2 linked regions of the Arabidopsis thaliana genome follow. The protein of the gene in region 2 binds, or shares a complex with, the protein of the main gene of each other region. Each region holds a gene or a part of one and is shown on either strand. Other genes may lie near its edges. The genes, in order: AT2G39960 and AT2G22425.

The links.
Region 1: AT2G22425 (region 2) and AT2G39960 share a complex: the UniProt entries of both Arabidopsis thaliana proteins name them as parts of the signal peptidase complex.

What each region holds. Positions count from the first base shown.
Region 1 is NC_003071.7:16,680,479-16,685,424, forward strand, and holds AT2G39960 (Microsomal signal peptidase 25 kDa subunit (SPC25)), read right to left. Parts: upstream 3,241-4,946; 5' UTR 3,014-3,240; coding exon 2,912-3,013; intron 2,841-2,911; coding exon 2,689-2,840; intron 2,430-2,688; coding exon 2,348-2,429; intron 1,518-2,347; coding exon 1,375-1,517; intron 1,288-1,374; coding exon 1,188-1,287; 3' UTR 818-1,187; downstream 1-817. Other genes in the region: PXN (Mitochondrial substrate carrier family protein), read right to left, coding at 3,548-3,720, 3,804-3,927, 4,020-4,121, 4,217-4,285, 4,428-4,535, 4,712-4,766. UniProt on the Arabidopsis thaliana protein: Component of the signal peptidase complex (SPC) which catalyzes the cleavage of N-terminal signal sequences from nascent proteins as they are translocated into the lumen of the endoplasmic reticulum.
Region 2 is NC_003071.7:9,512,858-9,516,289, reverse strand, and holds AT2G22425 (Microsomal signal peptidase 12 kDa subunit (SPC12)), read right to left. Parts: upstream 1,596-3,432; 5' UTR 1,302-1,595; intron 1,218-1,301; 5' UTR 1,212-1,217; coding exon 933-1,211; 3' UTR 616-932; downstream 1-615. Other genes in the region: AT2G22420 (Peroxidase superfamily protein), read right to left, coding at 1,806-2,399, 2,471-2,662, 2,746-2,949. UniProt on the Arabidopsis thaliana protein: Component of the signal peptidase complex (SPC) which catalyzes the cleavage of N-terminal signal sequences from nascent proteins as they are translocated into the lumen of the endoplasmic reticulum. Dispensable for SPC enzymatic activity.

The sequences.
Region 1 (4,946 bases), 7.2 Mb from region 2:
GATGGAAAGATAAGAAAACCAAAACAGCACAACGTTTACGTTTATATAGGTTAGATGTTCTGGCGGATTCGAAACGATTTTATTTAATTTATTTTATTCAAAACATTTGAGATCCGGGGCTCGTTTTGATTGAATCCTATGGTGGGTCCTACAAATTTAGGAGTGGGTTCCTTGCAAAACCTGACTTCGAGCTGGTGCCACGTCAGCTTTTAATGGGCCCTAGCAAAGGATGGGCCTGTGTTTTTTTTTATTGCAAACCTATATTTTTCTTTCGTTGAAATTGATCTTCGGCGATGGACAGGTTGTATTTTGTGGCCAATGAATGGATAAAAAATGTATGGATTATAGCATGTGATTTGGAATATTTTAAAATTCCACTACGTTATGTTAATACGAGGAGAAAGTTTTTTCAAACGAAAATTGGTTTAATAGCTTCCATATTTTTAGAGATTTATTTTATTATAAATTTTTATATTAATTTTTTTTTTTTTTGACCGCTGCTATGATTAGAATTTAGAACTATGAAAAGCAGGAAAAACAAAAATTATGGTATCTTTTAAAACACAATTCTTTACATTATTTTATTTGGAGTTTTATATGTTTAAAATTGTATATCCAAATTTGGATTGTCATCTTACATCAAGAAAGTTATTCAATACTTTTGCAAAATCATAGAGACCCATCTCTTGTTAAGCTGTGGAATTTTTTATAACGGAAAATGGAAAATTTTCTAATCAAAAAGTGCTAAAAAAAGGCGACTCCAACCAACTACAATCACCAAATGAACTTTCCCAAGCCATACGAGAAAGAAAAGGCTGTCTAAAAAGAGACTAGAGTCATCCAAGCCACTCATATCATATGTAGGTGTTTTATCATCAATCATACAAAATATTACGAATCAAATCATCCACAATTCGTGAAGCATTTGACCTTTTTTTTATGTATGATCTAGTACAAATAACTAAACGACAAGCATATACTTGATGTGAGCCATTGGCTTACTAACTTAGGTAAAGCTTTTTATTCTTTTCTAAATAGTGATCATAAAATCTCGGATTAATTCAAAAAGTTGGCTATAAGGAAAAATCCAAATATTAGTTTCATCTCTAAACAAAGTCACCATCGATTTAGTATTCTAAAACGCCAACATATGGAGTTTCAAAAGCATATATTTCTCTGGAAGATGATCATTTCTTCTTCTTTGGTTCTTCTTCTGCATAGTTCTTGATTAGTGCTTCTACGTCTTTCCAGAATAAACCCTCAACAAGAACTCCATCTTTCGTGAACCTGAAAAACACACAGAGAAACCATCTAATGAGACTCATGTAAGGAAAACAGAGCGAGCAATTGTAAGAAAGATGCCGAGAGAGAGACCATTGGGTGACACTTTTGGTGAGCTGAACTGACTTCCCAGCTGAGATTGATTTTGGATCAGCACTGTCGATGGTGAGAGTGTACTGATCAGAGAATCTGGGCAACTTTGAAGATACCACCAAACCAGTGCTGGTGAATGATCCCTGCGTATCAACCATCAGATTTTAAGATTTTTCCAAAGAGGAGCACCAAATGATGAGCTAAACATACATGTTTGAACAGTAGCAAAACAAATGAGAGTGAGCAAATATATATCAACCAGAGAGCTTTAGGATCTTGAGTCTTGACATAACAAAATGAAGCAATCCCACTAACCAAATTATTGCATCAATTTAACATGGCTTCAGAAAGACAAAATGTCTGAGCTCTTTTTGTTATGTTTCCTAGAGCTAACTAAACGAGTACAGAATGAAATGTTTGGAAAAAAAAATCTCATCGTCTCGGATACTAACTAAATGAGAGGAGTAATTTCTTCAAGCTGGTAAGAATGAGAAATAAACCACCCAAGTTACAGTCCAGAATCCTCCACTTAGTTGAACAATTATGTTTCGAGAAACAAGACAGAAACGATTGCAAACATCAAAAACTTTTGTTCAACTATTTTTCAAAATCTAAAGTTTGAAGACTAAAACTAATTGAACAATACATTGAAAGGGAAATGTAGTTTTGCCTAGAGCTCAAATGAAAAAAAAAAAAAAAAAAAAAGATGCCTTAAGATATGCAAAGTTGCAAACTTTACATAACATGTCAGGCAAGCAGAAACAAAATACAAAACAAAAGGAATGCAAAAGTTTGACACCAGAATTCAAACTATAGCTCCAGTTAAAAGTAAGTGAACAAGGAAAAAAGGTACATTATGCACCTAAATCACAGAAATACAATACAATTGTAGCATCATAGACAAAACAAGAATGTAGCCCAAACCACGAAACTTCTCAATGAAATAACTTTTCTAAATAGTCAGAGACCAAACCTCAGGAGGATAGGTGAACAAAATCGCATTCTTCTCCTTAGTGTACAGAATCAGCTGCAACACCGCATTCAACACTACATACGTGTCATATAGTCAAGGACCAAACATCTTCTTCAGAATTATCCAAATACAAGACATATATCGATCAGCTTCTATAGTCATACTTTAGATACAAGAAGGTTTTCCAAAATCTAATGCTAACTAAGCACAAAGAATTCGAGCCACATTACAAGTTCTCTAATCTCAATTTTCTTAAATTTCATCTTAGCCACTGGAAACCAACCAAATGAGAGTCAAGCAGAAAGCAGAAAGTATCAATTGAATTCGAGAAAAAAGGATATAATGCGATGCATCCAATCAAAAAATCCCTGTTCTCAGGGAATTTCTTGTTGTAGAATTGAGCAACAAGAGCAACAACGATGATAATCGTTCCCAAAATCAGTTTGAGGTTGCTCAATCTCACATCCTCCTTATAGCCACGGCTCGTAACGATCTACGAATCATAGATTCACATATCAGAGAAATATGGAGCAACGAACAAGGAAAATCTTAGAAAATTCTTACATCGGAGACGGATTCGTCAAGGATGTGCTTGATCGAGTGGTGGTCCAATAGATTGGCCTTCTTAACATTCTTGTTGGTTGATTCTGTCTTCTTCTCCTCCATGGTGAACAGATCGGATCCAGATAATACCAGATCTCTAATGTTCTTCGAAAATTCGAACGCAGAGTTTCAGATTTTCACGAGCGCTGAGACTAGGAGAGACTGATGTTTTTGGTTCGAGGAGGAAGAAGACGATATATTGGATGGAGCTAGAAGACGTTTCAGTCAAAACTCGTTTATTATGATGTCGTTTTGATGGATGAAATTTATTGGGCCTTGCTGGGCTTAATGTAGTCAAGTCAACTAATGACACATCTAAACCTTTTTTGTCAACTAATTAAACCCTTATTTGACTATTATAAACTTAAATGCTGAAGATTTCTTTCTATTGAAGAAAGAACAAAGGAAATCTGCCAAACTTTATTCAGATTTCATTACTAAAGAATCTTGCAGAAATTACAATAATCAATTGCAATCATCAGGAAATGAACAACAATCCCAATAGTGTAATAATTAATCAAGAAAACTATTGGAAATTTAATCTATTTTTATTTATTTCTAACTACTAGCGTTCATTCAAGAAGGCTTGGACTTGACTTAGCTAGAGGTAGCGTTTGAGAGCAACAGCTTAGCTCCCTTGACAAGCTCTTCCTTGATCATGAACAGAACCGCAGCAGCTAAAACGCTCTGCACAATCTTTGTGCTCATCCCTTTATAAAACCCGTAAAGCCCTTCATATCGAATCATTTTCAGAATCGCGTCCAATGTTCCTGTAATTCAAAACCAACACAGCAACTCTTAGCTTTAACTGACAAATGAGTTATTTTGGCCATTTCATGATAAGAGGGAAAACCTTTGTATTGTTGTCTTTTGTCCCCTGTTGTGACCTGTTTGGCTTGAAGTCGCGACTTTACAACCAAGAGAGGGTAAGTTGTGACTGTAGCTCCGAGTTTCGCCACAGCTCCGAGAAGAAATGTCTGTGGAAAATAGAAAGCACAATCATGGGAAGTTGGAAAGCAAGTAAACATCTTATTCAAAAAAAACGAAAGCAAAATGCTAGAGTCTGAACCTCCAAAGCGGTAACGTTGTTGCTACCCTTCAAGGCACGCTTTTTCTTCAGCTTGGTTAGCATTGTCTCGTACAACATAAATTGCATTGACGGATTACTTACCTGTGGGTTAAAAACACACACACACATCTAATTATTAATAAAATGCACCTAGACAAACAATACAAGAGAAGCTTCAAAATCATAAGCTCACGTACCATGATCAATGTTGGAATTACACCTTTCCAGAAGCCAGTTATTCCAGCTTCATCGTAAACCTCTCGAATCTGAGACATTGTTCAACAAATATCACAGAAACTGTCTTAATTGAGAGGTTTATAGAGTTTGATTTGACTCATAATAATTGATATGAGTATATGACCCTAGCCAGCTTCTTCTAGTTTTTAAATACGGGAAGCTGCCTCATACCGTATTAAAGGTCCCATATGGACGCGGCTCAACAGCAACCAGAGCTTCTGCATTAGAAGAAGGTGACTCGGGGGCCGCTGTTTGATCTTTTGTCATTTTTCTGTGGGTCTGCATACAAGTATTCAAAAAATCAAGAGGAGAAATAAAAGTGAGGAGAGAAAATCCATAGATTCATGCTCAAACGCAAAACTAAAACTACCACGGACCAAAGAAAATGTAATTGAAATTGACTGGACAGCGTAAGAAGCACTTTACGGTACTAGTGTATATGAAGCCATTTATACCTGCATACGCGTAACAATCACCCAAATCGGATTCGTCATAAGAACATTAACCGATCTGCACAGTGAGAGTGTTATCAAAATTCACATGAGCCAACGGAAACAATGGAAAAAAAACAAATTACAATAATGAACTATACATGCGACCAAAGTTTACAATCAAAGAAGAAAACAGCTATGACAGTAGGACCTGACAGGAAAAGTTAAGACCATCCACCTAGAAGCTCCACTAGACAAG
Region 2 (3,432 bases):
TCACAACCTTTTACCCAATTCACACAGAAACCTCTTTTCTTGACCACATTGGTAATGACACTAGCCGAGCATTCAAGATATACGTTTGTCATATATACCTTGTATTTGATTTTGTCTCTAGAGTTGACTAGTTTCTTACAATCACTGAATTTTCCTCTATTGTTTATCCACATGATGTATTTTTTTTGCGATACCATGTAGATTTTGGCTATTGCTACTTCCGGAGAGCTCTCTCTTTGTTTGTGAATTTGCTTCATCCTTCTGGTGAAGGTATACTTTTCATATCCTCTGCTTCTTCCTAATGCTGACCTAACTAAACCACTCCTTTTTCTCCACAGCTCATTTACAAGCATCCTGCCAAATGTTGGTTCTCTCAAATTCTGATTCCAAACCTGTACGCGTTCGCTGATTCAACTGTCATTTCGTTTCATAAGCCTATGACCTACCTTTAAGCGTTCGCGTTCGCCAGATGACTCGAATCTCCCGGAATATGAACCCGTGCAAATCCTCTGACCAGCGACTAGCGGAACAGTTTGGAATCACACAAACTATTTCTACTTCGACTCAAGAAAATAAGAAGGAGCAAAGCATCAAAGACTAGCATTGGTTTTTGCACACAAGCTTAACACAGAGTGTAAATGGATGGTGTGATATTTATGTACCATTTTCATAAAAACTGAGACTTTTGTGATTCATAAGACTTTTTCATCTAAAACTCTCTGATGATAGATAATCTACACAATTCAGTGAAATTGCCAGATTACAGCCATAGCCATTGATTCAAAAGCAAATTCCTTTGGCAAAAACAGATAATTATAAGAATCAACCCAGAATATTCAATTCATAATTAAGATTCCGATCCACAAATATCTCATACAAACAATTCTGAGAGAGAGAGAGAGAGAGAGAGAGAGAGAGATTCAGAATCAGACCTATTTCTTAGAGAATTTCTTCTTCGAAGCAACACTGACAACTTCTGGTTTGGGATGCTTCTCGGCTTCGCTCGGATCTAACCATTTGAGAGGATGAAGATTGTAGAAAGGCCAATTAGGTACAGTAACCAAAGTCGTGAGAACAACACCACCGGCATAGATCAGCATCATCGTCCTGAACGATTCCGTTGTGTAGCCAACAACCACCGCTACAACGCCGGAGATCACCAGTAAGATCTGCATCAGCTGCTCCACCAGTTTCTGTCCTTGCCAATCCATTTTCTTCTACACAACGAAATCAAAAACCATTAGCGATTTGAATCCAAAGTTAAACAAAAGAGAGAATCTGAGAACCCTAATTGCACAAACCTTTAGCGATCTGATCTCTCACTGAATCTGTAAACCTGATTTTCAACAATGGGGAAGAAAAGAAAGGACTCTTGACATTTATGAGCTAAGACCACAAAATCGGTTTAAAAGTAAACCGGATAAAGTGGACGGTCAGATTACTCTATAACCGGGTGAACCGGCGGTTTTTAATGTGCCTTAATTATTTCGAGATTTTGTATATGTGCAAATTCTGAAACCTTGAAACAAGGAATATTTACATTTAAGTTTCTTTGTGTGTACCTCAGAATTAGAATGTTGCTACTTGTCCAGTCCATAATTTGTTTATTGGGACAACAACTTCAGTGATTAGATAATGTTTACTATTTTATAGACTGGTGTGACCAGATTGTAGCTTTAGCAGTGACCAGTATTCATAAACCAAAATCAAAGTTTTGGAGAACCAAGATCCATGGCATGTAGCTAAAAAGATTTGCATCAATTTAGAAGTCATAATTAAGATTTCTTCTCTTTACTAATGATAATTCAAGATACAAGCAATACATCAATAGGCCTTCTATTAACAACTCTACAATTAAACCTAATCTCACCAGGTCTCCCAGATTGCAAATCACCCAACTTCACCATGCCTTCTGCAAAAGCCCTAAAGAACTCATCTTGATCCTCACTAAACATCTTCACATACTCTCTCGTCACTAGATTCGTGTACAAAGTCTGATCAGAGTTAAGAAACCCTCTCCCTGAAACCAAGTCTTTGAAATACTGATTATCAAAAACCTGAGGTGTTGCATCTAGATCTCCAGTCACATTCTCATCTCCACCCAAAGGACAAAGCTTATCAAGCTTCTTACGGTAACTCGGTTCAAGAGCTGGATCCGGTTTACCAGAACCGGATTGGTTATAAAGTCTGAACATGATTGAAAAACACCGACCTTGACCTATTGAGTGTGACCCTGATAAAGCAACCATGTCTTTTACAGAAAGATTGAATCTTTCGAAGAGATCAATCAAGAAAGTTGCGTTGGCTCTTGGACTTGGCATTATATCGTCGGAATCTTGCTGACTCGCTGTTAAACTGTCTTTCCTCCCTAGCTTCACTTCCCAATCTGGTCCTCCTGTCTGGTTTTTTCAAAGACCAAAATTACAAAACCGAGATTTCACTAAACCGGGGAAATTGAATTTTGACTTACAAGAGCAACGGCGTCACGAGCGGCCATGATAACGATATCGGCACAAGAAACAGTAGCTGGACAAGCTTTCTCTAGAGCTTCTTTAATGTCGTCAACGACTTCGAAAGATCTTAGTGAATCGATGTTGGAAAGTGATAGTTTTTCACCAAGCATGTTTGGTGTGTCGTCAAGCAACAGAGATGCGTCACATCCCTGAATTTGATGATTCAAAGAAAAATTCAGAGAGGAAAACAGAGTAAAGATCAAGAACAGAGAGAAAGATTTATAGTGTTTACATTGACGAAACAGTCGTGAAATTGGAAACGCATGACGGAAGCGACGCTTCTTGCTTCTTTGATCATTGCTTTCTTCATTTCTCTTCTTACTATGGATTCAGCTTCAGGGCATGTCTCGCTGTAGAATCTTGGTCGGAGAGTTTCTCCAGTAACAACCACCGTCAAAAGTGTTAGGTAGAGGATGAGATGGGGAAGAAGAGACATACTTTTTTCTTTTTTGGTGTTGTGTTTCAGTGATTGAAGAAGAAGTAGAGACTTTGTTTGTTGGGTTATAAAGAGGTTTTTGGTGGTTTTCGAGAATGATACTAAAGGCTTTTGTGTTTATAGATGGAATTTGTGCAAGTGTGGTCTCTGGTGGTGGTGGGCATTCCAATTTCTATAATTTATTTCTTTAATAAATAGAAATAAATAAATAAATAAATAAAGAAATAAATTTTCTAATTATAGAATTGGTGCCAATGGGGGATTAGTGTAGTAATTTGGTAAAATTATGGGTTTGTGAAATTATTGAATGATGAATCTGAAGTAATGTTAAATGTTTGTTAAGTTTGGATTATTGCAGTGTATATTAGCTGGCAAAAATAAAGAAGATAAAAGGATAATTGATCAAATTTTTTTTATAAAGGTGTGAAACTTTTGTACGTAATTGTTAAAATTGGTAAAACATCCATTATACAGTATTTAGAT